4 linked regions of the Oreochromis niloticus genome follow. The protein of the gene in region 3 purifies or fractionates together with the protein of the main gene of each other region. This does not show direct contact. Links are inferred from orthologs where the notes say so. Each region holds a gene or a part of one and is shown on either strand. Other genes may lie near its edges. The genes, in order: lsm12b, rc3h1b, nufip2 and ataxin-2-like protein.

Region 1 (7,321 bases), on a different chromosome or scaffold from region 3:
GCGGGTAAGAAAGAAAAAGTAGAGTAAAATGAACAGCTAAAATAATAAAAGTAAAATAAAAATATAAATATAAAAAGTTTTGATGGTTAAAAGTAAAATTCACACAGTTGCACAAAAACCAATAAATGGTATAAAAATAAAATAAATCACTGGACTTACCTTGCTAACATTCAGTGATGCTAGAGGGGGTGGAGTCTCGGTGCGGTCATTTATAATGTCCACATCAGAAACATAGGCTAAGTTGATCAGGATGACGTCGTTGAGGTTTGGCTTACCACTGGAGGAAGCACATTCTTTGAAGGCACTTAGGTCAAGGCAAACAACTTTGTGACAGTGAATGACAGAACAAAAATGACTATTATCTGTCCCCTTGAAGAACTTGGGACATCAGTTTTCTGCACAGAGAAGCTCATTATTCAGAGAGCACTGGCTGACAAACACTGACAGTGAAAGGTAGTGCCAGTTACAGCATGGGACTACCGAAAGCATTGCTGCCACCTGTAGCATCTATAAATGAATGGAGATGGCTAAAATGTGTTATGAGAGGAAAAACTGCAAAAAAAAAAAAAAAAAAAAACCCCCAACATGTACTGATGGTCCACAATCATGAAGCACCCATAACGAGCTCAGCAAACCCAGTATCTACAACTTACCTTAACGGCTTTTAGCGAGTAAAATTGCTTTAATCACCACTCCACTTTAATTATTACTGTATTGATTTATTTATTACCCATCATATCAAGTTTCTCCAAGTTTATCAGTGTTTACTTGTTGCTCTTACCATTTTACCTTCTCTTGCTGATTATTGATTGTGAAGCTTTGTGAAGCTTATTGTAACCAAGTCTTGAAAAGAGCTACATTACTAAATTTTTATTATTATTATTACAGGACTGGCTCGCTCTATGACTGACCAGCAATACACACACTGTTTGGGCTTTAACACTGCCTGTTTATTATTTATTTATTTATTTAAGTCATAACACATATCCTCTCACTGTGCAGTAACTAGTAATAACAACTGTCAGGAAATTTTACTCAAACAGTGATAAACTGCTGACTTTGGAACTCAAACGTAACATACAAACTAGTCTGATTTTTGTTTTGCTCTGGATTTCCTATCACAGCAGCAGTTTTCAAAGGTCTTGTGCACCTAAGAGCAAACCAACATTTCATGGCACATCTTTACAGTAAGCTCTACTGCCACATAGTTTCCCTCCACAGATATTCCAACAAACTGTCTGCCTCTAATTCAAATCAAGTGTGGGTTTAAGTATCCCGTCTTGGAATAATGTTAAGATTAGCCAGCTTGTCTTGAAATACTGTTATTCACAGATAGTGTCTTTTGTATAGGCAGGGGATTGCCCACTCTCTGCTTCACAAAATACAGTAATCCACTGTACTGTTTTCCTCACCATCTTTTAGGATCTTAGAGGTCCGCTAATTTAGCAAATATAAATTAAACTCATTAGGTTCTAGTGCAGCTGCTTAAATAATAGATGGATCTCACCAAATCCCAAGGCACGCCATTTATGAACCTTAGATCTAACTGTTCTGTATGTGTTTTTTGGCAAACTGATCCATAAAAAAACAAATAATTAAAAAAAAAAAAAAAGAATAAACCGAATTCTTGCAATAGATACATTGGAAAAGACTGTCTGAAAGTCGATAAATACATAAGAAAAATCAGCTGATTTTACACAGGCCTTGCATTCAAACTTAGCATGCGAACATATCACCTCGATTAATCACGTTTTGGGGGTTGCTCAAAGGGTAAAGCAGAAATACATACAATACCTGTATGGCTATTGAGCACACTTACACGTTTATAACTAGTCATTACCATACATTGCAGAGCTTAAAGTAGATGTCCATGCTTTTCTACAGCTCAGATAACGTCACAAAGTGTTTTTAGTGTTAAACTAACACTCAGAAAGACCTTGACTATCAGCTCTAAGCGCTCCCCACTCTTCATTTGACTTAATCACCTCAAGGTTTGGACACAATGAGGATAACTACACGATAACCTCTCGAGTCTGTGCAATTAACTCGGTGATCAGTGAAAGGAGGACATGATACGAAGCACATTCACACACTCACTCATTCACTCACACTGATGGGTGTAGACATGTTCGCCAGCAAACTAATGTTAGTAAGTTATTTCTCCCACACAAATGACTCATGTTAAAATGAACTGTGGCACAATCACACAATATTTACAGCCCAGCTGATAAGCTTGAGAACGCCAAACCCGTTAATTGAGCTAGCCAGTAGCTGCAGTGTGGGTTGACCGAAACCTAGCATGCTAACATGCTAAAAGCACCCTGATTGTATAGCGTGGACTCGGAAACCACTTAATCTCTAACTTGTACAAATAATCGTAAGCATCTCCGGCTGATGGCACCACCAACCATGTGAGGTCAATATGTGGACACCGTCAACACGCGAGACTCTCCCAGTATCAGTTAGCTCGCTAACTAGCAGCGGTTGTGCCTGCTGAGAGCACACAGCCATGATGCCTTACGAGGATTCGTTGCCAGATAATGATCCATGTTGAGGGCTGGCAATACAATGAGTGGATTCAAAACACATGCGCTGCTAGAGCGGCTAATGGGAGGCCAAGAAACTACCAGGCAACCCCAACTAAAGGCTTACACAGACAGAAGATAGATGAGGTGCTATCTGAAACATGAACATATATAAAACGGGCAAACGTGTGTGCTTCTGCTAGCACCAATTACGCCTGCGCGGATCACTATTTGCCATATTTCGGTTACCCTACAGGCCCTTGCAGCCAGGCAGGCCAGCAACCCCTCCATCCGCAGCTCGAAACAAACAAAAGGATACTCAGAGTTAACATCTTGGACTGGTAGTCAAACGCGACCACTTCTCCTTGGAGACGTTGGCCCAAGCATGTGACGCATGCGACATGGCTCCCGACGCTAAAATACTCCCCGGGTCCAGGAGCCGCCATCTTCTCCGCCAGGAAACCGGAGCGCCTGCCTTACGTAAAGCGACGCGATGTCGTATGGAGACGAAACCTGAGCGTAACAAAAGTACGTCGATCGTTTCTTCTAATTTAATGAATTATATGTGCTGCCAAATCAAATCTAGTTTACGTAAAGTTGTATCATTGAATCACTAACTAACGTCTTCAACTGTAGAACTACTACGAATACAACTTCTCTCTTCGACGAAGGATGTCGCTTTGTTTCCCATTGAACCGCCTTCCGATGTGTCCCGCCCCCTACCGGATGTAGAGCAGTACTGTGGAATTCATTGTAACACATCAAATAAAGGGCTGTCTTTAGATTGCCATCTACATATCAAAGTGTTTGTACTGGGAGAGGGCAGAAAGGAATGGAGGAGATTTATACCCAAGGCGTCTGGATGGCTGAAAGTCTCCAGCAGAGGACGAAGACTCAGGAGAAAGTCTGGCTTACGGTCACTCATATGGGAGATCCTAAAGCAGCCTTTCTGCTCGTCTTTCCTTTCACTTATTTCATCAACAGGAGAGCTGGAGTAGCGGTGCTTTGGGCGGCAGCTATATCGGAGTGGTTAAACTTAGTGTTCAAATGGTAAGGCGTTTTAATGAACCACGATTTGAATATTCCTGTCCAACTTAGTTTTTACACTTATCATTGCGGTTGTATGTCTCATGGTAGCATGTTGCTGCATTAACTTTTTTCACATTAAAATTTTTAATTATATATTCAAGACCGCCTGCACGTGTTCGTTTTTTCCAGTTTAAACAAATAACTAGATAATTTTAGTTTAGTCTTTGCTTCCGGTACAGCAAAGTAGTACAACCTTTTATTGGCGTCCGACGTGAAACAGAAATGAACGGAACCATTTGTGACCAGTTCCGTGGAATTTTCCCCACAAACAGCCTGGAGTGTAACAAGAAAAGTGACGAAAACAAACGGAAATTAAATATTAAATATTCACCGGATTAAATTTTAGAAAAGCAATGATATGGATGGATAATAACAAAGTTATAAAATGCTTCACAAGACAACATTGAAAACAGCAAATATAACGTTTAAGGAAAAATAAAAGTGAAACAACATGAGGTATATGAATACTGAGAACGCAAAGAGAAATAAAGACAGACAATAAATAAAAGAAACAATGATTACTAAAAGAAGATGATAAAGCAAATATGAAAGACAACATCGTAACACAAAGTGGAAACAGAGAAAAAGAATGCTCGTAAAATGCCTTTTTAAGAAATTTAAAAGACGATAATGACCTAAATCTCATCAGACAGATTGTACCAGAGAAAGGGTGTCCTGACAGAAAAAGCCTTTGGTTTTCAGCCGAGATTATGGGATGGCGAGAGCAGCCTTAGCTGAGGACCCCAACATCTGAAATATACTTTGGTGCGAACCTGCATACTATTAACATTGTTGTTACAATGTTATTACAAATAAATTTGTTATTATAACAAATTTACTTATATTATACCATAAAAACTAGAAATAAAACAAGATCAAATTAAGGGAAACACGCAGAAGACAGAGGAAAACATGCATAGAAAAAAATGAAACCCGCAAATCTTCAACAATTATTTTTAAAAAAAGAAAAATACAAAAGCCATTAAAAATATACAAAGTAGAGAAACAATACAACTAAATTACTATGGACATAATATCGATTTTTAAAAACGCCATGTATTATTTTGATTTAGATATTTCTGATTACACTAATTATTATTTTCTGAGGGTGTTGATGGAGAAGTATAGCCAAATATAATACAGTAAGGAACTTTGAACTAAATAAATTCCAGTAAAGTAAAAAGAAGAATGAAGAGTAAATATGCAGAGGCTTTTGGAGAAAAAAAGTAAAATGTCTTAGATTCAATAAGTAAAACAAAAACTTATTAAACGTAGTAAAATATAGTGAAGCCATGACCTTGAATGTATTTGTGTTATTTGGGGTGTGTGTGTACATTTATTTTTAATCAGGCTGCTGTTTGGAGAGAGGCCGTTCTGGTGGATCGGTGAATCGCGTCTTTTTGTCAACAAGCAACCGAAAATTCACCAGTTTCCGTCCACCTGCGAAACAGGCCCAGGTTAGAAGTTGTCTTAGAAAAATAGACTGTGTTTGAGTCATAGGCGATGTCTTTAAATCATCAAACAGTCAGCTCTCCAAAGTTGGCATATGTTTCTCAGGCAGTCCGTCTGGACATGCGATGGTGACAGCAGCAGTCTGGTGGGTCGTTGTGTCCTCGCTGGGGTCCTTTCTGTACTCCCGTACTCACAGGTATGTCCCTATTTAAGCTAAATCCAGTGCAGTATGCTGCTTTGGCTCTAAAAATGCACAAAAACTGCTGCATAGTGGAACTACTTTTAAACAAATCTCTCCTTTTCTGAATCCGGAGTGTTCTGTTATCAGCTGCTCCCTACGTGCTCTATGTGGTGATGCTTGTTGCAGTTGGAATCTCCAGGATCTTCATCCTCGCACACTTTCCTCATCAGGTCGTTGCTGGCTCCATTACAGGTCTGAATACATATTATGCAAAAATCATATTTCTGAAAAAGGCGGGGCACTTTATAAAAAGTATATTAAAAGCCAAATGCAGTGATCTTCAAAGTGTAAAAGACATTTTTTTTATATATGATCACAGCTGCAAATCATACAGGTTTAAATTCAAAATACACTAAATATTTTCACTGACTGAGTGTAATGGATTACAGGCAAGCATGTATCAGACCTGTGTAGATATGCAGCTGTGCTGCAGAATGATGTTTGCTGAAATGATTGAGGCCTCTCCTAAAACAGGTGTCCTCTGGATCAAAGCATTGATTGCTCCAAAACATTAAGTGTTAATATTTCTAGCACAGGTGTAGATCTAGTGCACTCCATCATCACTTGTGCTGGTTTTTGAGCTGCTTGCTATCAACTATCTGTGCAATTCTACAGGATTTTTGTAGTAACCAAAAAAGAATTTCATAATTGGATTTGTCAGACCCATAGGATAGTTTTCCTATGTGTGCAGCTTAATCTGATGAAATGCTCTTGTCAGGTTTCATTCTGGGGATTGTCCTGAGCCGCAGAGTACCAGAAGGTCGCCCCCTGCTGTTCTTCTTTAGTTTAAGCTTTGGGCTTCTGTTTGGAGCTCTGATGCTCTATGCTGGATTAAAGCAGCTGGGAATTGACCTTTCTTGGTGAGTTACTCTATTACATTAATGTTTAATCAGTGAGTCTGATCAGTGTATGTTGTGATAATATGAATGGACTTCCTGCCATGACCGGTCATGTTTTTGATTCAACAGGTCTATTGCTTTGGCCAAGAAATGGTGCAGCCATGCAGAATGGATTCGTTTGGACACAGCCCCATTCTCCTCTCTCACTCGAGACTGTGGGGCCCTGTTGGGTTTGGGGCTGGCACAGTACTGGAAGCCTGGTGGATGGTCTTTACCTTGGGCTCCCAGAGCTTTGTCTCTGGCTATATCATCCATGGGTCTTTACCACGTGAATCGTCTACCGCTCCCTGTCCGACCACAGGGCCTTTTCTACAGCCTGTTCTTTGTCAAATTCGTCCTAGTGCCTCTGATCGTTATGGTACTTGTGCCTGGGCTGGTACACCTATTAACATTCAAAAAAAAGAAAGACTAGAAGAGTTTCTCCACACATGATGTGCACCTTAAACACCTCCCAAAACTGGAGTTTCTTTCAGAGTTTGTATAAACACATTTAATGTTTAATGTTCACTGCGTTTCAGAACCATTTTGATCGGTACGGGTTAAGTTTACTTTTCATGTCTTAAAATTCACTAAACAATGGCCTTTAATCCAGTCTATGACCTGTGTTTTTTCCTTTTTTGATGATTTTTAAAGTGCCGGTATTGAGACATTGTAGCGTAAAGTACGTTTCTAGTGAATCTAGTGCAATCATAAGTGTTGTAAATACTACAGTATTTTTGCTAAAAATCGACTTTATTGGGAAACGTGCAACTTTGTTTATGTGCATTTTGTGTTGTTTGAATCTTTACGAGTCAAAGATTGGTACACCTCAGATTTGTAGCTAGTGAAAGGCAAAGAACTTGAACATTGTTCAGATGTCTGATGCTCAGCTTTGTGTTATTGCCTTGTGACCAAAAAATTGAAAGTTACATTTCTATGTTATTCCCAAATCAGTAAAAATAAATGATTGACATGCAGGGCGTGTTTCAGTTGGTAACCATTTATAAATATGTTCTCCTTTTTTCCAATACATATGTTCGACTGTACAGATTACAATCAGTTATCATGAGATAAAAACACATTCTTTTTTATTGTTTTTAATTAAACTTCACAGCGATCTGAAAGCTCACATTTAC
Region 2 (8,006 bases), on a different chromosome or scaffold from region 3:
ATTCTTACGGTAAGAAACAATTTGGACTGAGGGCCAATTTAACACGTTACAACTCATTTTGCACAACAATTAAAATAATCACTACTTAAAATATATTACATTTAATTTCAAATTATGTGGATTCTCACTAATCGCTGGTATTAGAATGTTTTTTATATTTTAGTCACAATTGTCTTTTAAGTAATCAGCTGAAGATTGTCAAAGACCCTCAAAACCAGGCATTTTCATTTGTGCAAGGAGTTTCACTTAACTATATTCTAACAGCATGTATTGAAATATTAATATGCTGAGATGCTCTCATTAATGTTAGCAAAATCTCTTGCTGCAATCTTCCACAAGCAAAGCTCACAAAGGCTAACGTCAGCACATTAAGGCCAATTCCGAGAAAGGTCATAACAAAGCTGAGTGCTACTTGATAATGTTTGCCACCATTATTATCACTCAGTCTGTCCAAATACATGTGTGTGGGGCACACCGCGTGTGGTAGGGATAGTCATATTTTTCCACCATAGAAGCAAATTTTACATTACTAATATATATATATATATATATATATATATATATATATATATATATATATATATACATATATATATGAATAACCGACTTCAACATCAAACAGGGAATGTTTAAGGAAGTCCTACCTAGTTAAACTATATTAGCATAAATGTGCAATAAGACTAAGATCTGTTTAAGAGACAAGCCATACCAGTCATGATGACTAGAGAAGACACATTTCAGCATTACAAGTGATGCAGTGACGTTATCCATTATTGCAGTCTTAACTTAGAAACTTGGCCAACAAAGCCAGACACCATTAGCTGTGCCTCACCCTGTTGGTATAACACTCCCTCTGAGAAATACGGCTTTAGTGAATGCGCTAGCACTCAGTAAAGCAGCATAATTCAAGTCATTGCTCAATGACTGCAGGGTGACTCAGAAAGAAATCCCAAAAGTATGTACACCATGTAGTAACCCATGTGTGACACAAATACAATCCATAGTAATTACAGAAAACGTCATCCTTTAAAACCAGGATTGGTGTCTTAAAATGTTTCACTACTATAAAAAAAAAACAAAAACAAAAAAACCACACCCATGAGCTAGTATTCTTAACCACAAGATAGCGTCAACAAAATCTCAGCACAGGCGGTATAAAGTCAGATCTCTGTACATTTGTTTAGCAATTTATGACAAACACACACAAACAAAGGTCTTACCTGGCCTCCCACCAACTGCAACAGAGCCGTGTTGACAGGTAACTGCTCGATGTCTGTGCTGATGGCTGTCTGGTCAAAGGGACAGGCCTTTCGGTGCAACTTGTTCAGGCACATCTTGCAGACTGTATGTCCACAGCCTAAGCTGATGGGCCTGCGAACAGTTTCCTCAAATGTCTGTGTGCAGATCGGGCACAGCAGGAACTCTGTCCATTGTGGTGCTTGCACTGGCATGGTTATATGTTGATGGGATGGGTGTGTATAAATGTATGTGAGCTTAATCACAGAGGAAAATATATAATAATTTTATATATATAATGAAAGATTCCACTGGAATCAATTTTTTTTCTTCCGAACTCAATCGTTCTTAAATGTCCTCACACATTGTGGATTGTGGATCACATCTCGTGATGAATACTGTAAAGCAGAAAGAGAAACGGAATTATAGTTGTTGCCGCATTCACAAACTGTCGTTTTTTTTAATAAAACGTGTCATACTGTTATTAGTTTTACATCAAAACATTGTAGAAGTACACTATAAAACATGGCTACACTGTGCATGAGTGCATTTGCAGCTGAGAAATGCATTCTATGCCGTGTGGTTATAAAGCAGGTTTCCCGTGGAACAACTAACCGCACTGAAAATATGCCTCTTCCTGTCAATTACGTTGTTCAAGCCCAACAAAACAATGTAACGGCAAATCAGACGCGACACAACACATATTTGTAAAGTCGGAATCAAACAAATGGTTGAGATGGACCAAAACAACTGCGGCGTGGCCTAGTTAAAAAAAAAGAGAAAAAAAAAGAGCTGGTTATCACTATGACTATGGACAAAGGGTATAGGATAGGCTAACCACCAAGTCCCTCTAACTTGATATAAAGCTAGCGTCTGGTGATAGTGCTTGATAATATTGTACCAACAATGCGCTGTTGCCCAGTATTTTTTATCCTTGCTGTGACCATCTCGGTGTTTCGTTATGCACCCACTAATCTTACGAGTGATACGAGACGCTTTTATAGCTAGCTAACTCTAGGTAACGTTAGCTTACTTTTAGCATCGGAAGCTATGGGTGGCTAGTTTCCTAGCTTAGCTACGGGCAAACGTCGTTTGATCAGCAAACAGTTGCTTAACGACCTGAAACCTTTCGCTGACCGACTGTCACACAGTTATTGCTCTGAATATAGTCACAGTTGCTCATACGTTACAGTTTTAATGATATTAATTATCCTTCGAGGAGGCGCTGTTCAAGGAAACGAGATCTAAGAGACACAACAAGTCAGATTATGTAACGCTAGCACCCGTAACTTCAAAGCAACGAAACTGTCCCAAAATGTCTTTATATTCACCAGACACAGTGACAACAACTCGATACCAGAAAGTTCTTAAGAACTGACCAGGTTTGTGCTTTAGTCTTGTTTTGAGGGGCACATAACTCAACCGCTCTTGTCGTCGGAATGAGCACAGAGGGCTAACATGCTAATGAACAAATGTTACTCTCTCCACTCTCTTAGCGCTTAGCTTCTTAGCTAGCTCGCTAACAATCTCTATGCGTCACTAATGTGCCTAAAACTAAACATGCAACTACTACTTTGGGTTTTTTCACCGAGCAGATAAATCGTTATTGTCGATGCTACTCACTTATTCCAAAAGACTTGGAAGTTTTTCATCTTTTTTTTAGGAAATTGCTGCGATATTTTCTTGCCATGTCGACTGTGCAGCTTAGCTGCTGCCAAGGTTTGGGAGAGGGTGTCAACTCGACGACAGACTCGCTAGCCGGTTACAGCTAGCTGGAAAAGATGTGTGCGTGCACGCGCGTTTTTTTTTCTTTTTTGCGTGTGCGCGTTTGGATTGTGGGCAAATGGCGCCCTCTGTTGATATTGAGCCGCACACACAAAATACCGAAACTGGGCAGGTGCTGAGAAGATCACATCTGGGAACATTTTTCACAGTTAAACTGCTGAGTTTGCACGAGTGCATATATATTAAATATGTTTGTGTATCTGTTTTCGAAACATAGACAAAAGAAGGGAAGAGGAGAGCTCAGACAGATTAAAACAGAGGGAGGGAGCTGTATTGACAAATAAGAATCAGCTGACATTTGTTTTTGCAAGACAAAATTAGACCCGTGCTCCCTAAAACGCAGCATACCCCACTTCCTTGCAATCAGAGTCACCGAAATAAAGACTGAAAAGTATCTGGGATATCTCATTTGGGCGAGAGGTCCCCAAGCCATTTTACTAGAATTGTTTTCTCTTTTTCATTGGGTTATTATTATTTTTACAGCGGGGAGGGAATCGGTGTGTGTGCACTTGCGCAACACAGAGCTCCACTCGACGTCGGGTTCGTGAGGCAAGAGCGAAATTAAAGCAGGCATTTTTTTTATTCCATTTTTGTTTAATCCCACTGATTTCTGAGGGGATTATCAGACCAGGCATGATTGAGAGACCGCTGACTCGCCTGACACCGCTCGGAGCTACGTAGAGCGACAGAGAGAGAGGGAGAGTGAAAACAGAACCTCAGAATCTGGAGAAACATTTGGAAATCTTGTTATTATCATTATTATTTCATCCACGGGGACGTCGCTCGTCTTGCCAGTTGGTGACGCGAGGATGCGCGCTGCAAAAACTGCACGCTTGGCGCAGCTTTTTATTATGGAGGGCAACTTTAATTTGTGCGGTTGCCCCAGAATTTATGGCAACTTTCTCGTGACCATCGACGCTGGGATTGCATGTCAAAGTACGCCGTCTTCAGTAAAAGTGCAGGTACATTAAAAAATGTTTGTTAGCCTTCTAATAGCGAAACCAACCTGTCTCTTAATGTGATGAGAAGCTACTTTGTTAATGATAATGATGTGTTAAAATTGGTTTTATGGAGGCGGTTTGCATAATTACCAACAGTAGCCTGTACAAAACTGCCACTGTGCGTATTTCTTATGGGTAAATAATGAATTTTAAATACTTTAACTGATCCCCCCCAGTTTTTCTATAAATGAATGGCAAACAGGAAAAAAAATGGTTTATTATTTCTGATATATACAACCAAACATAAACATATAATACTGCTTATTCCCTGTAGGGTCTCAGTTGCAGGCAGCAGTTGCTTATTCTGATTCCAAAGGATTATCCTGTGCCCTGCAAAGTAATCACTGGATAAGGCAACGTGACAGAGTCCACATTACATATCTCCTTACCCGGCACACAGGAAAAAAGTATCTGGTAACAGAGATGTAGAATACACTGAATAGGAAATGTTTTTATCTTTCTTGTTCTTTATTTTCAGAATCTCTTTGGACTTTCTTGTGCATGACTAGCCAATGGAGGAAGAGAAAGCCGCTGATAATATCCAATCAAAATCCGGCTCCCCTTTGCCCACCGGGCTTCCCATAAACTGGGGACTCATTACTGGGCCTGTTCCTGAGCCTGTTTTCCCACCCACCACTACTTTGAATACTTCTCTTCCTCCCCCTGCTCAAAGTTCAGCTGTGCACGCCCTGCAGACCAAGGTGAAGTCGATCACGCAGAGAAGAACAAGGGGAAGAGACAGGGAGAAAGACAGAGAAAGATTTGACACGGAGGTGCTGGTGAGCAACCCAGCGGGGCACATTTCATCTGAAGTCCTCCTTAGACAGAGACCCAAAGTGAAAGGCCAGCTGTTTCTGCCTGCTCCCTCCTGGCGATCAGGTGGTGCAAAGGACTTAAGCAGCAGTGATGAAGAGGAGGAGGTAGAGGTACAAGTCAGTCTGGAGATCCACAGTCCTCCCGCTGAAGCACAAGTTGTACAGCAGGGGGAGGAAGTGGAAGAGGAGCAGTCAGAAAACAATGATGGACAGGTCAGTCATCCAACAGGTCAGCCTTGTGGGCTTGGAGAGGGCACCAGTCTGGAGAGTCTTCTGTCTGACAACTCAAGCACTAGCAAGGATGGCCCATCCCCTTCCCCTCCTCCTCTTCCACCACCACCTGTGCTCTCCTCCAACATCTCTGCTTCTACAACATCGTCCTTTACTTCCTCCACTTCTTCTCCTTCAGCAAGACACTGGGCCCCTCCAAAGGGCTTCTGGAGAGTAGCACGTCCAGAAACGTTGCTTCTCAATGGGGTTGACCCTCACAATACACCCCCCACATTACCACTAAAGGACTACACTCGGACAGAGGCACTAGCAGAGCCTCAGAGGAAGCCTAAACTGGCTGAAGCAGGCAACAAGAATGATGTGGGAGGTCTGGCGAATGACTATGATGTGTCTTCTGAAATCCAAAAGTCTGATAGTGTGGAGTGGTACCTGGACAAGTATGAGCAGAGGGAGACAGATGTGACTGATCCCAATAAAGGACTGTGCAGTTCAGACAGCTCGGAGAGCATGTCTTCACAAAGTGGAGTCCTTTGCGCTGATGATAAACTGAGGGTGAAGGAGAGGGCCTATGCAAAGTTAAGGGAAAGACAACAACACTACAGGGAAGTGAGAGAACTGCACGAAGGAGAAATCACTGGCTATTATGAAGAAACAACGTACAGAGTGGATTATAATGGTAGGTCTATTAAGGAAAATAATAGAGAAAGCTAAAAAGTAATGCATGGAGCCATCTGAGAAGGGCTTTAGTAATACTTTACTGATAAATAAGCTGTAAAGTGTTTTGAAACTCCTGGCCATGGCATGAAATACATAACTTTACTTTTGCAGTATTATTATGCTATACAATAATAGCATTTTTAGTAGCGTGCCTTTATTTAAAAAAAGAAAAAAAAACACATGCTGCCATATTTATGACAACAATACTTGATATAGTTTCAATAACAGGTTGTGACTTAGTCATAATTTTTTTCTGTATTACTTTAGCTTCCTCATGAAGTGTAGTCGAATGTTATGAGCTGGATCAGCTCCTGTGGCGTGTTAGCATTTTGGATGAGGACAGAAAATGTAAAATTTTGCATTTGATTTTTTTTCCCTAACAACCTTCTAAAGCTGGAAAATTGTCAATAATTTATGCACATTGTCTGCTTAGAATGATTTCCATCTGTTGCAGCCATTTAAAGTGCCCCATTCAGCCGTAGTCTGCCTACCTACAATGTTGTATTGAAACGCAGAATGTAACCTGGCTGGTTCCCAGTGCTGAACAGATGTCAGATGTGCAGATGTGCATGCGGGTGTTACTATTAATAGAGCAGTGGGGGAAGTGTCCCTGTCTTTTTTATCTCTGCCGGCGCGCTAATGGATGTCTTTGTATGTGTGTAGGATGACAGATGATATATTTTCCCATGCAATGATCATGTAGTATTGCACAGATCTCAGTTTCAATGCCCAGTACGAGAGATGCAGGTGCAAGTCCGTGATGATGAGATGATTTTGCCCTCTTGTCTCTGGGAAATCTGCTTTTATCCTTCAGCAGTTACATAATCTGTGTATGGGTGTGTGTGCGTGTGCGTGTGTGTGTCTTGTTTTGTTTTGGGTTTTTTTTTTTGTCCGAGATTAAAGATGAGTTAGGGATGACCTCCGAGACTGCCACTGAGTCTAATCTGAACGTAATGTTATAAGGTTTATGAAAATCCCTTTGATCATAGCAAGTCCCAATTTCTTTGATACCCAAATGTCCTTGTAGGTCACGTCATGGCTGACTGCTCTCTCTGCAGTTGTGTTTGCCGCAAGGCAAGTCCTAAAAAATGGAACATTAAACAATAATTTAATGTGCTGTAGCACATTATGTCTGGGTGAAGGAAGAAACAAAGACAAGAAATCCTTTTATCTGGAAGAAATTTTGACTGCGCTCTTATATATGCTCATATCTTTTTCCTTTTTTAATGTCAGTTGCAGGTGCCCATCCTGTTTTGGACACCTCAGACTCAGCCATTCTGGCCCAGGAACTTGAACCCTATTTAAGGTGAGCAATGCAGTTCCTGGCAAGGATAGTGACAGATAATCTCTGTGGACTATTTATATCCTCTCCTCATAAATTTCACTTTTACAGCTGCACTTGAGAAAATCTACCCAATGAGGCAACTATGCCTGGTGCACAATCCAAACAAACATTTTGATAATCGGGTTTAATCACAGGGAAGAGATGATGTCGAGTATTATCAAAAGCAGTGCACTGGGGATACTGAGCGAGTATCAATTATGTGTTATATCTGATACTCGCTCGTCACTTGTTGACCTGACACACTGTTATCTTTTTTCACCAGTTGCACTATTATTTAAAGCCATCCTTTTAATAAAGGTTGTTATTTTGAACATGGTTATAAACTGTAGAATAAAGAGCTGCATATGATATTTAAAGACAGGCTTCAACTTTGTTGATTTCCTTTTTCTGGTGTTTGAATACTGCGGTGACACAACAAACTGTAATCTAGTGAAAGACAATATGTTCTCATCTTGTCATACAGGAGAGAATGAATCACACTTAGTCCATTACAAAGATAATCCACGTGGCTGGTGTATCATGCTATCTTTATCACTGGGCCAGGGGATAAAGAGAAGTACAGACGATGAAGCACAATGCAGAGCGGCTTAGCTGCTGGGCATAAAGATGGATGGATGAATGGATAAATGGATGGATGACATTCCCCTTTGCTGCTGACCACTAGAGCCACGCCCCAGTCTATCTATCTGATATTACATAAAACAGCTTAGGAAGACGCAGCTTGCTGGGCTCCGTGTTAAGTCAATCTTTGGGGAAATATGATGTCTCTGGATATGTGTCAGCACAGAATAAGCTTTGAAAATTTGAACACTTTATCAAATATTCAGCATTCTCAGACAGATGCAGGCAGATTGTCTCATTAGTGAGTTAAACTCT
Region 3 (7,278 bases):
AGGTACCCACTGACGGGCAACCGTTTCCATTTCCAGAAACAGGACCATTAGTAAAACTAGCTGAGGTGATCGTTTTCATAGCAGACATAGGGACCTGTGACAGTCTGACAGGAGGAGGCAGTGCCTCTCCTCCACCTTGAGCTACTTTGTTGAGGTTCTCTTTTACTTTACTTGCATAACTGATCTTGGGAACAATTTTAGCACTGCTATTGTCCACAGGAAATACTGGCGGAGGCTTGAACAAAGTCCACGAGTCCTCTTTTGAAGGTGAAGAAAGCTTGCCTTTGTGTCTTTCCTCAGTTTTTTTACCAAAGGTGCCAACTGTTTTACCATCAGAGTTTTTCCTCTGAGATTCACCCACTGAAGCCTCTGATACAACAGCCCGTTTGGCTGTCGACTGAGTTTCTACTTTCTGGGTGGCTCTAAATCCATCGAGTCTGGAGGTCATTCCTTTCTCATTTGTCTCTAGATTCAAAGCCCCCAGCTCCTCTGTAGTGTGGCCCTGCTGCATGTCTCTCTCCTTTTCTCTTATCACATTATCAGTGTTCTTTGTATTGTTACATCTGGTCTTGCGTTTCTTCGGAGTAGTATATCCACCTTCCGAACTACTACCGTCATTGTCCTTGCTAGAATAGCCATTTGTAATTAAGCCACAGTTTACGACGCCATTTTGAAGTAATACGGAGTCCTTCTTATCCAAAGGCGGGCCCTCATGATGACTCAAATCCTGCACCTTCTCCTTGTTATTTTTTAAGTCCATACTCTTCTTATGGTCCAGTCCTTTGATGCTTATTTTTGGAACAGTCGTGCACAGCTTTTGCGTGGATTTGGGCTTTGCATTTGTATTAATTGTATGTCTGTTAGCATTGATGCTAGGTGGATGCGACATGCCAACGGCATTAGACAGATGTGGATTCTTCTCTCCCTCCTCGTCACTGATGCTTACTTTTTTATTGCCTGAAAGGGGAAATAAAATCAGTTGATACTGAAATTAGGGAACATCCACCACCCTTCACCTGGCAGAAAACCTCCACAAGTACTACATTTACAGAAAGTCTGTGTCAAATAATCTGTTTCAAACTTGGAGAAACTACAAGGATTTTATAGATTTTTTGTGTGTGCGTGCACGCATGCTATCGCAATAGCAAAAAAGTGACTCACATGTATGCAACTCTTAACCTAAACAAATCCAAGTAAAAAAAGATGCATATTAAACTTTTAAATGTTTCTCTAGTATTACATGTAAACCACACCCATGGAGAACATGACTGATCTCCTTATTGGGTTTATAATTATTCTTATAGTGCTGCCTGAAATTAAACTTCCTAACAATCTTCCAAGATAAGCTGAGAGCTCACTACATGTAACAAGTTATAGAAATTAGATATGCTTCACAACTGTCAACAACGTAAAGGACTCTTGCTTAGCTTCCCCCACCCCAGAGAATATTCGACATCAGACACAAGTTGTTGCAAGGTCTGCAAGGATCGCTCACAACAGCATTTATGGCACACGCACAGAGGAGCAATAAACTATTAACAGGCCCGTGCACTGCACAGACGCATGGGAATTGCTGTGTCAACGTAGGACTTTTCATTCACAGTGGTGCTGCCTCAATGTCTGTGAGCGCAGCACCCAATGGATTCTATACGGTCTCTCCTCTCTTAGACGGAGGCCGGTTCTTACTCACTAGCAATCATACGAATGCATATAGTCTCGTAAAGACGATGCTTACAGTGTCAGCTCAGCGCCACAAAACAAGACATTGTCCAGTTGTTGCCTGGCTTCACAACACGCAACAGGCCTGTCAGTGATGGCTAGCTTTAGCTAATGTCAACTAACCAGCGGCTCGGTTGCCACCAACACGCCCAGGAACTGTCGTGCCCTATCAGCACCAACAACAACAACCACAGCAGCCAAAATGACAGCAGAGACATGCCAAAACAGCAAAGTATGTTGCCTGTACAACAATTTCTAACTAGCTGTGGAACTACAGCATTAGCCAGCAGTGATAGTCTAACATGGCTGACAGGAAATGGCAGCTCAGAACATTCCAGTGGAGCCGGCTCGGTTTTCCTAAGCTGGACATGAGCATGCCGAACAAAAAGACACAGCTTTGACTATTGTTGAGGATAACTTGCCGTGCACGCCTATCAAATAATGCGCTAAGAACACATGGCAACATGGCAGGGGTTCCTTGAGATGATTACGATGCATTTGCAAAAGAAAAATGGTTGGCGAAACCGGCGCACAAGGTCAATCCCCGATGTGTCAAACAACCACAGCGACAACTGTCACGCAACGTCAGCTAGCGAACTTGCTAACATAACGGTGAGCTCCTCGTCCGGCTATCCGTCAAAAAGGGCCAAGCTTTTCACCAGCTGAAACATTTACCAAATTATCTCAAGGAACCATATATAATATGAACCAATAGCTAGCAGGCTAAGTCCTCAATTGCGATTTAGTTCACATTAGTTAGCAAAAGCTAGTCAGCTCACTGACATTAGCTGACCAAGGCTAGCAAGCATTAGCTAACTTTTCGGGATGGCCCAACCTGTTTTCTTCGTCTGCGTTTCCTGATGCTGGCACTGGAAGTGGCTCTGATCATTTTTTAGACAAGTTGGCTGCTGAAAAGAGTGCCTGTCGTCTCCGTGGTGATGGTATTGCCTGTCTTGTGCCCGGTCTTTGGGCTGTTCCTCCATTGAAGTGAAGAATGTCGGACTTGTTCAACCAGTATGTTAGCTCACTCAAGTACAGGACAGTCCAATCACTACCAGAGTAAAACGGAAGCTATTTGAAGCCTCTGTAAACGTCAGCAGTAAACGTCTAAAAATGGCTCTGTTTTGGGTGGTCACCGCCACCACTCAAATCCATGTCTAGTTATTTGTGCTGAGTTATGCAGGGGAATATTTCTCAGCACTTTTTTTTCTGTCAGTGCTTGTATTTAATCGGATAACTGACAGAAGAATAACGAAGGAGCGATATTAAAACAAATCTTTTGGGGTGGGCGATACCGGGGTGGGGTTCGTGTGCGAACAAAAATCACATGACCGGAGGCGCTGCCACGTCTCAAGCCAGTGGACACATGTTGGTGATGGCGAGACCAACCCCTCTCCCAAAATGGAAAAAACAGACTCATTGCAAATTTATTAGCAATGCATTTGTGAGTGTTTAATCAGTACAGAACATTGTTCCTGTTTTCTGAACAAGCAACAAAATTACTCTAATAATCCTTGCGTATGCACAGAAATAAATAATATCAATTGGGTAGTTGGTGCAACGAAGCACGAAGTCAATGTATACTAGGGTTAGAAAAAGTAACATCCATTTAGTGCTTCCCATATTTGGCCCCTTATACATACGCGCGCGCGCACACACACACACACATATACAATTATATATCTATATCTATCTATCTATCTATCTATCTATCTATCTATATATATGTATATTCTGGTACATTTAAATCTGCTATTTGCTATTAAAGTGTAGAGAAACCGATTTGCTTCCCTGTTACTATATGTGCATATAACATATAAGCTAATTCATTATTCATTCTCGACTGACACACAGTGTAAAAAAGGTTTATGTGCTTTACTTTTGTGCACACTGGGGTCGGCACGGTGCAACATTGCTTATGCAGGACTTTAACGGACCAACAGCACCCTCTTGTGACTAAAAAAATACAAAGCCGTAGAGACTGTTTTGTTGGGGAAGTGAAGAACATTGATCATCTTCTTAGAGTGCAATGTTCTACTGTGAAACCGTGAGTCGTTAAATTGGCTTGCGCATTATTTTTCAGGCCCTTGTCACAATGCTGAGCCCCAACATACCTAAAAAATAATATAGCAGGAATAGTGACACTGTAAGAGTGTGAATATTATTTGGTATTTACTAGGTATTTTGCATAGTGTTGCAAAATCCTTTACCTCTGAATCTAATTTTGGGATTTAAAATCTTACTTAAAAAGTAGCATCAGTATGTACTTGAAATACCCAGTGTAAAAACGGGCCTTTTCTGTGATAATACACATTATTGAGTCATAGTTACTTATTAATCAGTGTGTATATTGTTTTTACTTAATATACTTCTGGGTAGCTAATTCTTTAACAACATAGCATCATATGTGTTTTATATTAATATGTGTGCTTTAAACAATTAGAGTACAAACACTAAAATACAGTGTTGTAGAAGAAGTAGCTTTTCATACAATTACATGAGTAATGTAGAAGTGCATACATTAAAATTAAACTTTGGCATAGTATTTGGGTAAATACCCCATAGGACACAATACTGGGCCTAAATAATGTACATTGGGGCGATCGTGGCTCAAAGAGTTGGCAGTTTGTCTTGTAACCGGAAGGTTGCCGGTTCGAGCCCCGGCTTGGACAGTCTCGGTTGTTGTGTCCTTGGGCAAGACACTTCACCTACTGCCTACTAGTGATGGCCAGAGGGGCCGATGGCGCGACATGGCAGTCTCGCTTCTGTCAGCCTGCCCCAGGACAGCTGTGGCTACAACTGTAGCTTGCCTCCACCAGTGTGTGAATGAGTAGTGGAATTGTAAAGCGCTTTGAGGGCCCCAAAAAGCGCTATATAAATGCAATCCATTATTATTATTCTAGCTCTAAAAAGAAAAAAGAAAGACAAATTTTCATTCAAAACAAAGGCAAGAAATTGTGGTGGCTGTCCCTTGTTTAAGCTAAACTCAGGCATGCAAGTGTAGTTATCCAAGGGTGAGTATAATATAGTAGAAGAAAATGACTGAAATGAACATTGATTCTGGATTCATCATGGTGAGGGTAGCTGATTCGCACAAACACAAATACAGTACAGTGTCACGGATCCTCTTATCTTTGACACTATTTAGGAGGAAAAAAAAGAGGTCACCCTGGTTTCACACAGTCTCAGTGCTGATGTTTGCTCTTTTTCTACTTTTTAAAATGAATAATTCATGTGATAACTTGATTTTATAAAAAGCTAAAACCATGTGATGGACTAATCACTCAGTCAAAGGAATTTGCAAAGAAAAGCGTCTGGACTTCTTTAAGTTGCTTGAAGACGTTTCAATGAGCTCATCCCGAAACCCTGGCTGATTAGGTCCCACACCCGCTTTCACACCTTGGCTCATGTGATAAGAGGATCACCAGGGGGTCCTTTGTCCCTCTTTGGGGGGATACTCCCACTGGGTTTAAATCTGGGACTCTCGGCCATTTGACCTTAGAACTGAAGAAGCTTCTCGGATGAGAGGTGAAACGTCTTCAAGCAACTTAAAGAAGTCCAGACGCTTTTCTTTGCAAATTCCTTTGACTACGATGACCTGGATGACTGAGAACCTTCACAGACTAATCACTCAGAAATGCTTACCTAGCAATACCTTAAGAACCAAATTCATATGATGTACTGAGCAAGTTATTGCTCAAAAGGTATTTATTCATGGCTTATTTATCATTTGCAATCATAATGAAGACTGACTCAGGCATCAGATGGAGGACAAATGTAATGAAATGCAGTTTAGCATTTGTGAGATAATTCTGATAGTTTCTCTGGAGAAAGTCTTTGAAATAAAATGTCAGATCTATTAAGCAAACATTCAACTTAATTGAATGTTGTCTGAATGAACCAAACTTTTTGCAGCTGTCATTAAACAGTGACAGGTAACACTATAATAACTTTAGAATACACATTAAATTGCAGACAGGTGAGAAACAACAGCAATGGGACATGGAGCACAGTGTCCCATCAGAACAGCTTCACTGTGCCTTGGCATTGATTCTCAAAGTCTCTAGAACTGTACAGTGGGGATAATAGACCCTCATTAGGTGTTTGGATGATGGCTGGTGTTGAGCCCTGATGGTTCAAAATGAGGGAATGCAAAGCACCATAGCATACAATTCCCATTACTGTGGATGTTCATCAACCCCTTCAGTGACTGTTTGTGCCCTATGGATGGATGTGTTGTCATCCTGTAAGACAACACTCCCCATCAGGAAAGAAATACGTCATCACAGAATAAAAGTGATTGCTCAGAACAAGTTTCTATTGATTTAAGCGGACCCTCCTTTTTAAAGGGGAACGTGGACCCTAACAATAGCAACAAAATTAGGGACTGGATCCCTGGGGGCAAAACGGTGGCAGAAACAGACCATTTCTAATACGATGACAAAGCTGAGACCATCGAGGTATATTAGGATTGCAGAGGATCTTTATGCTTTGCATTCACTGTAAGCCAGATCTGGAATTGTTTAAGTTTAGAAACAATTTAAATTTAAATGAGTACTGTAAAAATACACTATCGAGAAATTGTCCCACATAAAATGTTCTTCTAGTAAAATAGTAGTATTTGCGTAGCGCTCTAATGCATCACCATTGGTTGTGTTGGGTGGTCAGACTTTGTTCCGATGTGGCTATGGTCACCCCTAGCTCCTCCCATGGGGTCAAGAGTGAAGGTTTTGCGCTACTTTTCGAGCTGTATTTATTTTAGATGTACCAACAATGTGTTCCAGAGATTATTCGATAAGAAGAGACAGAGTCTACTCCTACTGTGTAATTTAGGTGGGCTTTGTTAAACACCAGTATAACACACTTTCTGCAAGCCCTTAGGAGAACTCAGTACTGGTTAATAAATGTGTGCAGCTTAAAAAGCTATTCCGACAACCAAATAAGCCAGATTCTGAAAAACTGAAACATTATTTCCTCAATGTAGTTAATGATTATTTCTCTGTGTTTAATACTGTATGAATAGAAACTATTTGGAATAGTACAGTGCTCTCTGGAAGTTGTTAGTTTATAATAATGCTATATTTCTTACTTTAATTGTATTTACATAATGTTACTCTTGTTCCTGATAAAATATTTATAATATTAATATCTGGCCAGTATGCAGATATGAAACTAAAGATTCAGATGGTTGAGATGAATATTACTAATTCAAAGAGATCAAAGTATTTTTCAAGCAAACATATTTCTCAAACAGGATATTCAAGTCTTTATTACAGATTGATCTCCTTCAGCAGGAAATCTAATATCATATATATTCATATTCCATAATTTTTGCAGCCTGCAATCAGACTCTTTTGATTCCTTTAAATCATAGTTACGGTGAATAACAAGTACATGTTTTCAATTATGCTGCAGACACGTGTTTTTGCACAATGCCCACTGTGGCATCTGTAAAATTAGTGCACAGTAAAAAACATAAAGGTGCAGTCTGAGTACATGTGAGGCTACAGCAACTGCACGCACAGATTTTCCTTTATAAAACTTTGACTTGATGGAACT
Region 4 (7,901 bases), on a different chromosome or scaffold from region 3:
AGAGCAGCATAAGGTAAAAATCTTCTTTCTGCACAGGTTATGCTAAAGGTGACGTCCCGTGCCATATAACAGACTTTTTTTTTGTTTTTGTTTTTATACATGATGGGGAGAAGAAATCATAATGTACTCCAGACTTGTCACTAGATTTAAAGTTAGAGTCGAACCGCGACTCAACATCTGGCCACCTCGGCTACTTTACACGACGAACAATCCACCAGGCAAGGGTAAAACCTCTTTTCAAATGCCTCAAAAACGCAAACATTTATATTGATTTCAATATCTTTCCACTTTTAGAAGCTGCCAGTGTCTAAACAATGACTTATTTCCTGGTTGCGTTTTTCAAAAAATGTAATCAGTTCTTTGTGTGTTCTTGCACTGACTGGACAGCTTGACTCTTTAATTTCACTCTTACTCAACTGCCTTTACTTTCACTTTTGATCCTTTGTATCTGCCATATCAGAAATTAACCAACCTCCACAGTCTTGTGTACAATCACATAACCGCACACGCAGTTTTAACCCCAATCTGATGACTGGTCATAACAGAGTAACTTTGTGGATAGGATCAGGCATAGTAAAGACCAGCTAATGCAATCAGCCACAGGTGAGCGAAGAGCAGCTGTAGATAAACCTTTCAATGGCCCTTTTACAGAGGAGGACTTTACCAAATACAGGTCATACGCATATCTGACTCCACAGGCAAAGGGCTTAATACATTGCCCTATAAAATGTGTTTTACATCAGCGATGCTTCTAAATGAGTAAAATTTAATAATTTATAATAATTTATATAAATTTACCCAGTATCGCCATATATTTTCCTTCCCAATAATATTTTAAAAATGTAGTGTGTATTTGCAGTTTTGTGGATCAGGATACTTACAGGAGATGACTGGAATGATGGCTTTGCAGAAGATCGATTCCTGAAAAACAAAACAGAAAAGTTTTGCTGTTCAGAAGGAGAAGAACTTGTTTTCAAAGTCTGAGGAGTCAGTGTCACAGTCCACATCACACACTAGAAAAATTTGGTTATTCGAGAAGCAGACAGAGTTACCCAGAGTGGCAGGACAAGTTCTTATGTCATTCCTGCTCACCAGAAAAGCTCCACAGTTAATTTATTCTCAATCCACGCACTCTAACTGTGTGACTTAAAGGAAAAACACTGGCATCTGAACATAGAAATTGTTTAAAGAAATAATACTTGTTTACAGATTAAGCCCCCCCCCCCTCCCCCCATCTGTCCCATCCCCCTTCACCTCACTGCAGGTATGTCTGGCTCTAGAGCTTCAAGTTTCTCCCTAGTGTTTATTACCACACTGTTTGTTGATTTCCCTGCCCTCTCCCTTTTCCCCTCACCCCAACCAGTTGAGGCAGATGGTCGACCCTCCCCGGGGCCTGGCTATGCAAGTTTCTGTAGGTTTCCTTCTGTTTAAAGGGAGGATCTTTCTCCCAACTCTCACTGCCTGCTTGCTGAAAGGGTATTGGTTGGTTTCTCTGTAATATTCGTAATCCAATTTGCCCTATAATAACTGTTGATATAAATAAAATATAATTAGACATAAATAACGTATGTCAGTTTAGTTAGAATCTTTTTTTTAATATGCGTCCTTAAGATAGAAAACAGGAAGTCTAAATCGAAAAATAAAAACACATTTCTGCCCAAAAAACGTTTGATATACGACTGGAAAAGCCATGAAAGGGTGATGTAGACCAATCTGCATGCTAAACGTAACTCCATCATGAATGGCCACTGTGGCTCGTATCAATGCTTGCTACATGCTCGGTTACAAAACAAAGACGGAGCTAATAAGACTTCAGTAAACGCGCTCATCTCACAAATCAGCAGCACACGCGACCTCGTACTGGTCATAACAACTGTGTAATGTTAACACAGCCACTGTATCAGGCGTTTTTATTAAGCATTTGGGACGTGAGGTTATACATGTAAACAGTTTCTCCCTCCCCTCTCTTTCGCCCCTTCTCAACCAAAAACAGGCCAAATAAACTTTGTATCACCTCTATGCTGATTTGCTACTCCTAGCTTTCGCCACTTCGCTGATTCGGTTGAGGTTCGATTCGAGCGTGCTGATTGGTCCACATTTGATGCCAATCTAAGAAGAGTGAATCCCATTGGCTTCTAGGTAAGCTCTATTTTTGGGGTTACGCCCACTGGGAAACAGCGCTTTAACCGGTAGGCCTTTGAGTCACGGGACAATCCCCGGACTGTCCTGAAAGAAAAATCCCAGCCCCCTTACCTTCCAGCCGGTGCCCTGTTGGCGTTGTTGATCCCGCTGACTGGAGAAGACATACTGGCAGGGCCCGATGTCCCGTTAGACGCCTTTCTCCCGCCGGATCCGGGTTGCTGCTGTTGTTTCAGCATTGCGAAGCACAAGGCTTAGACAGTATCAAGTGAAAGCTCACTTAAAAACACCGATACCTCCTGATGTGAAGTAGCTTTGAAAGCGAACTATCTTTAGCAGTTATCAGCTGCCCTAAGAAGCGCAGAGCCGGCGTAACCTCCCCGGCTATTGTGGCTAATCTTGCTAGGTGAACACCAGTCGCGTGTGGCCTAACATGTAAAAGCAAAAACACCTCGATAATAAAATTAAATCGGACACATAACTTAACAAATTACCCCACGCTATCTACTCTACAACCACACAGGCTACGCCAAAGCAAGCGACAATTAAAAATTACACCAGCTTCCGTGTAATTATTTAGCCAAGGCTGGCTAGGTTAGCATTAGCTGTGATCCTCGGGCTCACTTCGGGCGCTCTCCCTCCGGGGTTTACTTTATATCCTCGGCCGCGTCGCCTTAAATCCAACACCGCTGAACCGTCGGATAAAAAAATTACTGCTCGGCGTTACTGTCCTCTGCCGTGGAACTTAGATTTTCAGGTTTCCTTCGGAAAACCTGCTGCGGTCGGTCAACACCTCCTCTCGCTAGGACAGCTTGACTGAATCCGCGCGCGGCTGACTGCAAACCGGCTCAAAGGGGGAGGGGGCGTTGACGTGAGCGCGCTTACGTGGAAGAATGTGTGCATTGATTAAATCAGGACTTAATCGATACCACTGTATCGCTGATATAATCAAGGATGGGTGGTCCCTGCTGTAAACGTGGCAGTCACCATACAGAACACTTAATGTTTTGTTTACAAATCACCACCTTGGTTTCTGTTAATTTAATCATCTCCCATTATTTTTTTCATATCTGTATTGATCGCATGTATTTATTAATTTATTATATTTGATTCATGATTGTAACATTAACTAAACGAGGACACCAACAGCACAGGCGAAAGGCTGAAACAAGCCGAGCATCGTTTTTTTCAGTGCGTCTGTAAACCAGTTATTACGGTTGTGAGCTACAGAGATCATGGCGGCCTCCATAGGGATACTTTGACTTATGTAGCAGGAGTTTGGTAATTTTCCTAAATGATCTTTGCCTTTCTGTTAGTCTCAGTTTCTGCTACAGAGCATCTGAAATAAAAACAACAATACGCCTTCTCCCAAATAAACCGTAAGTACATTTCAAACCTGAGGGGAGAGTTTGTTGTGGATCCACATGTGCGCTGAGTGAACAAAGCCGTATTTAAACTGTTTACGTATTTGTAAGTTGTGCTCTTACTAACAGAGAGCGAGGATACGGTTTGATTCAAAGCTGTACATGTTCAATATAACCATTTTTTAAAATTAAATTAGAATTCGTGCCAAAATGCTTTGTTGATGCCAGAGGTCAGAGAAAGGCGGACTGTTTCCAGCTGGCAGGAAGGCACCAGTAACTCAAACAACTACTCGTTACAGTCAAGGTACACAGAAGAGCATCTCTCAGTGGGTATAACGTGGACCCTTAAAGCAGATGGGCTGCAGCAGCACAAAACCACACCTGGCGTTACTTTAGTCAGGAACAGGAAACTGAGGTCAAGTTCACCAAAATTAGGAGATTGGATAAATGTTGGCTGGCCTGATGATGCGATACTCAGATGGTAGGTTCATAAACATGGAAGCATGGAGCCATCCTGCCCTGTACCAAGAGTTCAGCTGGATGGTGTAATGATGTCGAAGATATTCTCTTGGTAGTTTGGGACCCTTTAGATCAACTGTCTTAAACGTCTTGAGCGAGCTCGTTGTTTTTACCTATTATTAGATGTTTCTTGTGTGCCATTTTGGTAATAACACACCTTGTTATAGGCCATAAGTGTGGAATGAACCAGCTGATATTAATTTGCAATAAATGGCAGGATTATTTTCCAATTACTGACAGATTTCAGCCGTTGTCATCATGGCTTCTATGTTTTGATTTCTTTGGGTGTGTGGATTGGATGGGTTGTTATTGAAATCTGGTGAGAATTTTTTATGTCAAAAGCACCTTTAGAAATATTTAGAAAATTTACTTAGAAAGTTGCTGACATGTTCATTGCTTATTTTACCCACTGTAAACAACAAAGTTATTTTTCCAAGTTGAGAGTTGAAATAAAGCTGATGGGTCACGAAAGTAATGGAGTATCTAACAGGGATACACCATCATTTAACTTTTACTCTGACAGGTGTGCGTCTCACATGTTGAGAAAGAAGCTTCCCTTCCTGCACAGTCTCCTCTCACCGGTTTCCAGACATGTCGGTCACCTCGCAGGACATCAGTATGATGTCATCGTGGTGGGCGGGGGTCACGCAGGGACCGAGGCAGCGGCGGCAGCAGCCAGAGTTGGGGCTGAAACACTCCTCATCACGCAGAAAATTCACACCATCGGTGAGGATAAAGGGACACATAAACAAAGAAGCTCTTTTTCCTCCAACAGGGAAAACTAAACTTCTCTGATAATATTCCCACAGGTGCTCTGTCCTGTAACCCCTCTCTGGGAGGAGTAGGGAAGGGCCAGCTCGTGAAGGAGGTTGATGCTCTGGATGGGCTGTGTGGTCGGGCAGGGGACTGGGCTGGGATTCATTTTTCCATCCTGAATCGTAGAAAAGGGCCTGCCGTGTGGGGTCCGAGAGCCCAGCTGGACCGTCAGCGCTACCGAGACTTCATTCAGGTTAAGAAAAAAACCCAAAAACTTGAATTACTCATCCATTAAAGTAAAATATTTGTCTGCGAGTGAATTAAAATGTTTGTCTGCTACATATTTTTTCTTCAGTCCGAGCTGCTGTCCACTCCCAGGCTGACCGTGTTGGAGGGCTCAGTGGAGGAGCTGTTGGTAACAGAACCAAACCCAGAGGAGCCCGGGCACCACAGAGTCACCGGGATACGTTTGGGTACACAGCAAATTAACTCTTTTAAGGACAAGGACCTAAATGGCAAACGGTACATATTATACACTGAATTTACTTTCTCATGTTTTTTGCACTTCCTGAACAACCAGCTAATGGCAGCCATGCGATCTCAGCCAGATCAGTGGTTCTTACCACTGGTACGTTCCTGTCTGGCTCCCTCTTTGTGGGTCAAACTACCTCCCCCGGGGGTCGGATTGGAGACGCTCCATCGAGCCCTGGGCTGTCCCATACGCTGAGGGAGAGGCTGGGGCTAAGGACAGGCAGACTGAGGACTGGTACCCCTCCCAGGATTGTGAAGGACTCAGTAGACCTTTCTTTGGCTAAGCTTCACCTCCCCGACAGTCACCCGACTCCTTTCAGCTTCCTCAATACCCACACCCACTGCAAGGTACAGCTGAATGAATGGACTTTTATTTTTTAACTCACTGTCTAGTTTATTGTTCCTGCTGCTTTATTTTGAAATGTAACCCTCTGTAGCCAGAAGAGCAGCTGCCTTGCTACCTCACCTTTACTACACCGGGTGTGGAGAGAGTGGTGAGGGAGAGTCTTCAACTAAACTGTCACATACAGCAAGACACCAAAGGTCCCAGGTACACACACACACACACACACACACACACACACACTCACACACACACACACACTTTGGACTCAATGGTTTGAAACTCAGAAGGAATCACTTCAGTTATTCCATCATTGTCTGCTCTTTAATGCAAAATAAAGCATGTAGATTCGTTTTAACATGAAAGTTTTTGTGAAGAAAATGCCACAAAAACAAAAACATCAGTATAACTGTGTATCATAAAATTTTTATGCAAAACTGAAACAATCGAGCTGAATTGGAATGACCTGCAGTCTTCGTCTCTCACAGGTACTGCCCCTCCATCGAGTCGCGAGTGCTGCGCTTTCCAGGCCGAAGCCACCAGGTGTGGCTGGAGCCCGAGGGCGTGACCTCTGACCTCCTGTACCCACAGGGTCTGTCCATGACAATGCCCCCTGACATACAGCTACGCCTCATCAGAGAAATCCCTCCCATGCGCAGAGCTGAGATCCACACGCCAGGTAGGTCCTTAGATCCTGTTTGATTTGCCTAGTAACAAGTGAGAGCAGTGACAGTTCCCTAAATTCTTCCCTAATTCTAAAAAAAAATGGATTGACAGAAGTAGGCTGGTTTCCAGAACTGAAAGTCTAATGTTTGTTTTCTGGGATTTCCAGGTTATGGCGTGCAGTACGACTTTGTGTGTCCCACTCAGCTGAGCCCGGCGCTGCAGGTGAAGAGCACTCAAGGTCTGTTTCTGGCCGGTCAGATCAATGGCACCACGGGGTACGAGGAGGCTGCCGCACAGGTAGCTGCTTCTTTCCTTAAAGCCACACACACACACACACACACACACAGCTGGAAGCAGCTTATCACCAACTGATTTTTCTTCTTCTATCTGAGCAGGGTTTGTGGGCGGGAGCAAACGCTGCCCGCTGGGCGCTCTCCATGCCCACAGTGACGCTGTCTCGAACAGAGAGCTATATCGGAGTTCTCATTGACGACCTGGTGAGTCGAGGCGTGACAGAGCCTTACCGCATGTTCACCAGCCGGGCCGAGTTTCGAACTTCTCTAAGGCCGGACAACGCCGACCTCCGCCTGACCCCGAAGGGTAGGTGTAGCATCTCCAACGTGTTATTGTGCTTGCGTTTGTTTTTTTTTCACTTCTTCTCCTCATCTCATTACCTTTTATTTCCCATCAGGCTTTGAGGAGGTGGGATGTGTGTCTTCCGTGCGCTACCAGGAGTCTTTAAGAGTGAGGAACAGCCTCCAGGATGCACTGACAGCCCTTCAGGCTCTCTTTCTGTCTACCTCGAGCTGGAAGAAGAAGCTTCCCAGTGTTCCCATCAGTGAGACCAAGAGCACCTTACTGACGTGAGTGATAGAAATCTGCCAAGCTAATAATTTAATTTTTCATGTCAGTTTAAAAAATTTTTCTGGTTAATGTTTGTTTTTCAGTGGCTTAGATCTTCTTCAGTACAACGACGTGACCTTTGAAATGCTGGCATCTGCCTTCCCCGAGAGCCTTTCGTCTTATATGGAATTTGCACAGAGACTTAAGATAGAAGGTAAGACAAAAATAACCCCGCCTGAAATGTTCATCTACAATAAAACTCTCACTAAAACGTTTCTCTGGTCTGTCACACAGCTGTGTACAAGCCTCACTGCGACTTAAACAAGAAAGAGATCGAGAGAATTCAGAGGGAGGAGAACATGTCCCTGCCGCAGGACATTGACTATTTCTCTCTGCCGGTGTCGCTTTCCGACGAAGTTCGAGAGATCCTGGACAGAGTTCGACCGAGCACAGTGAGCCCGCTCCTTTCAAAATAATAGTGTGAAATATTTATTTTAATAAAAGGGAACAAATATGCCCTGACTCTTCTGCTCTGTCCTCCAGCTGGGCGCTGCTACTCGCTTGGAAGGTATAACTCCTGCTGCAGTCGTCAATCTCCTCAACTATGTGCGCGTCACAGAGAAAAAGAAGGAAACGCACAGAAACCAGCGACACCAGGAGGCGCAGAGAGATGAGGAGCTGTGTGCAAACAGTGCCTCTTTACCTCAGTGATGCAGTCTAAAAATGACTCAAACTGTCTT

The links.
Region 1: the proteins of nufip2 (region 3) and lsm12b purify together in Homo sapiens (affinity purification with mass spectrometry; 3 studies listed by BioGRID and IntAct, counting the BioPlex papers as one, with this or other methods). This does not show direct contact. The link is inferred for Oreochromis niloticus from reciprocal best matches to the Homo sapiens genes NUFIP2 and LSM12.
Region 2: the proteins of nufip2 (region 3) and rc3h1b purify together in Homo sapiens (affinity purification with mass spectrometry; 3 studies listed by BioGRID, with this or other methods). This does not show direct contact. The link is inferred for Oreochromis niloticus from reciprocal best matches to the Homo sapiens genes NUFIP2 and RC3H1.
Region 4: the proteins of nufip2 (region 3) and ataxin-2-like protein purify together in Homo sapiens (affinity purification with mass spectrometry; 4 studies listed by BioGRID and IntAct, counting the BioPlex papers as one, with this or other methods). This does not show direct contact. The link is inferred for Oreochromis niloticus from reciprocal best matches to the Homo sapiens genes NUFIP2 and ATXN2L.

Annotation. Positions count from the first base shown.
Region 1 is NC_031973.2:7,489,334-7,496,654, reverse strand, and holds the start of lsm12b (protein LSM12 homolog A), read right to left. Parts: upstream 3,005-7,321; 5' UTR 2,972-3,004; coding exon 2,845-2,971; intron 2,565-2,844; exon of another isoform or gene 2,550-2,564; coding exon of another isoform or gene 2,522-2,549; intron 324-2,521; coding exon of another isoform or gene 294-323; coding exon 160-293; intron 1-159. Other genes in the region: g6pc3 (glucose-6-phosphatase 3), read left to right, coding at 3,358-3,575, 4,965-5,071, 5,172-5,262, 5,381-5,499, 6,026-6,167, 6,276-6,618. UniProt on the Homo sapiens protein: Nicotinic acid adenine dinucleotide phosphate (NAADP) binding protein. Confers NAADP sensitivity to the two pore channel complex (TPCs) by acting as TPC accessory protein necessary for NAADP-evoked Ca(2+) release.
Region 2 is NC_031982.2:15,300,166-15,308,171, forward strand, and holds the start of rc3h1b (roquin-1), read right to left. Parts: upstream 3,007-8,006; 5' UTR 2,860-3,006; intron 2,619-2,859; exon of another isoform or gene 1,674-2,618; intron 1,635-1,673; 5' UTR 1,452-1,634; coding exon 1,221-1,451; intron 1-1,220. Other genes in the region: uncharacterized protein si:ch211-13f8.1, read left to right, coding at 4,535-5,744, 7,019-7,091. UniProt on the Homo sapiens protein: Post-transcriptional repressor of mRNAs containing a conserved stem loop motif, called constitutive decay element (CDE), which is often located in the 3'-UTR, as in HMGXB3, ICOS, IER3, NFKBID, NFKBIZ, PPP1R10, TNF, TNFRSF4 and in many more mRNAs.
Region 3 is NC_031975.2:7,233,680-7,240,957, reverse strand, and holds the start of nufip2 (nuclear fragile X mental retardation-interacting protein 2), read right to left. Parts: upstream 3,002-7,278; 5' UTR 2,703-3,001; coding exon 2,555-2,702; intron 2,332-2,554; exon of another isoform or gene 965-2,331; intron 958-964; coding exon 1-957. UniProt on the Homo sapiens protein: Binds RNA.
Region 4 is NC_031973.2:16,470,265-16,478,165, reverse strand, and holds the start of ataxin-2-like protein, read right to left. Parts: upstream 3,005-7,901; 5' UTR 2,379-3,004; coding exon 2,254-2,378; intron 922-2,253; coding exon 882-921; intron 14-881; exon of another isoform or gene 1-13. Other genes in the region: mto1 (5-taurinomethyluridine-[tRNA] synthase subunit MTO1, mitochondrial), read left to right, coding at 3,725-3,984, 4,546-4,748, 4,832-5,031, 5,134-5,251, 5,359-5,657, 5,747-5,859, 6,141-6,331, 6,485-6,615 and 5 more. UniProt on the Homo sapiens protein: Involved in the regulation of stress granule and P-body formation.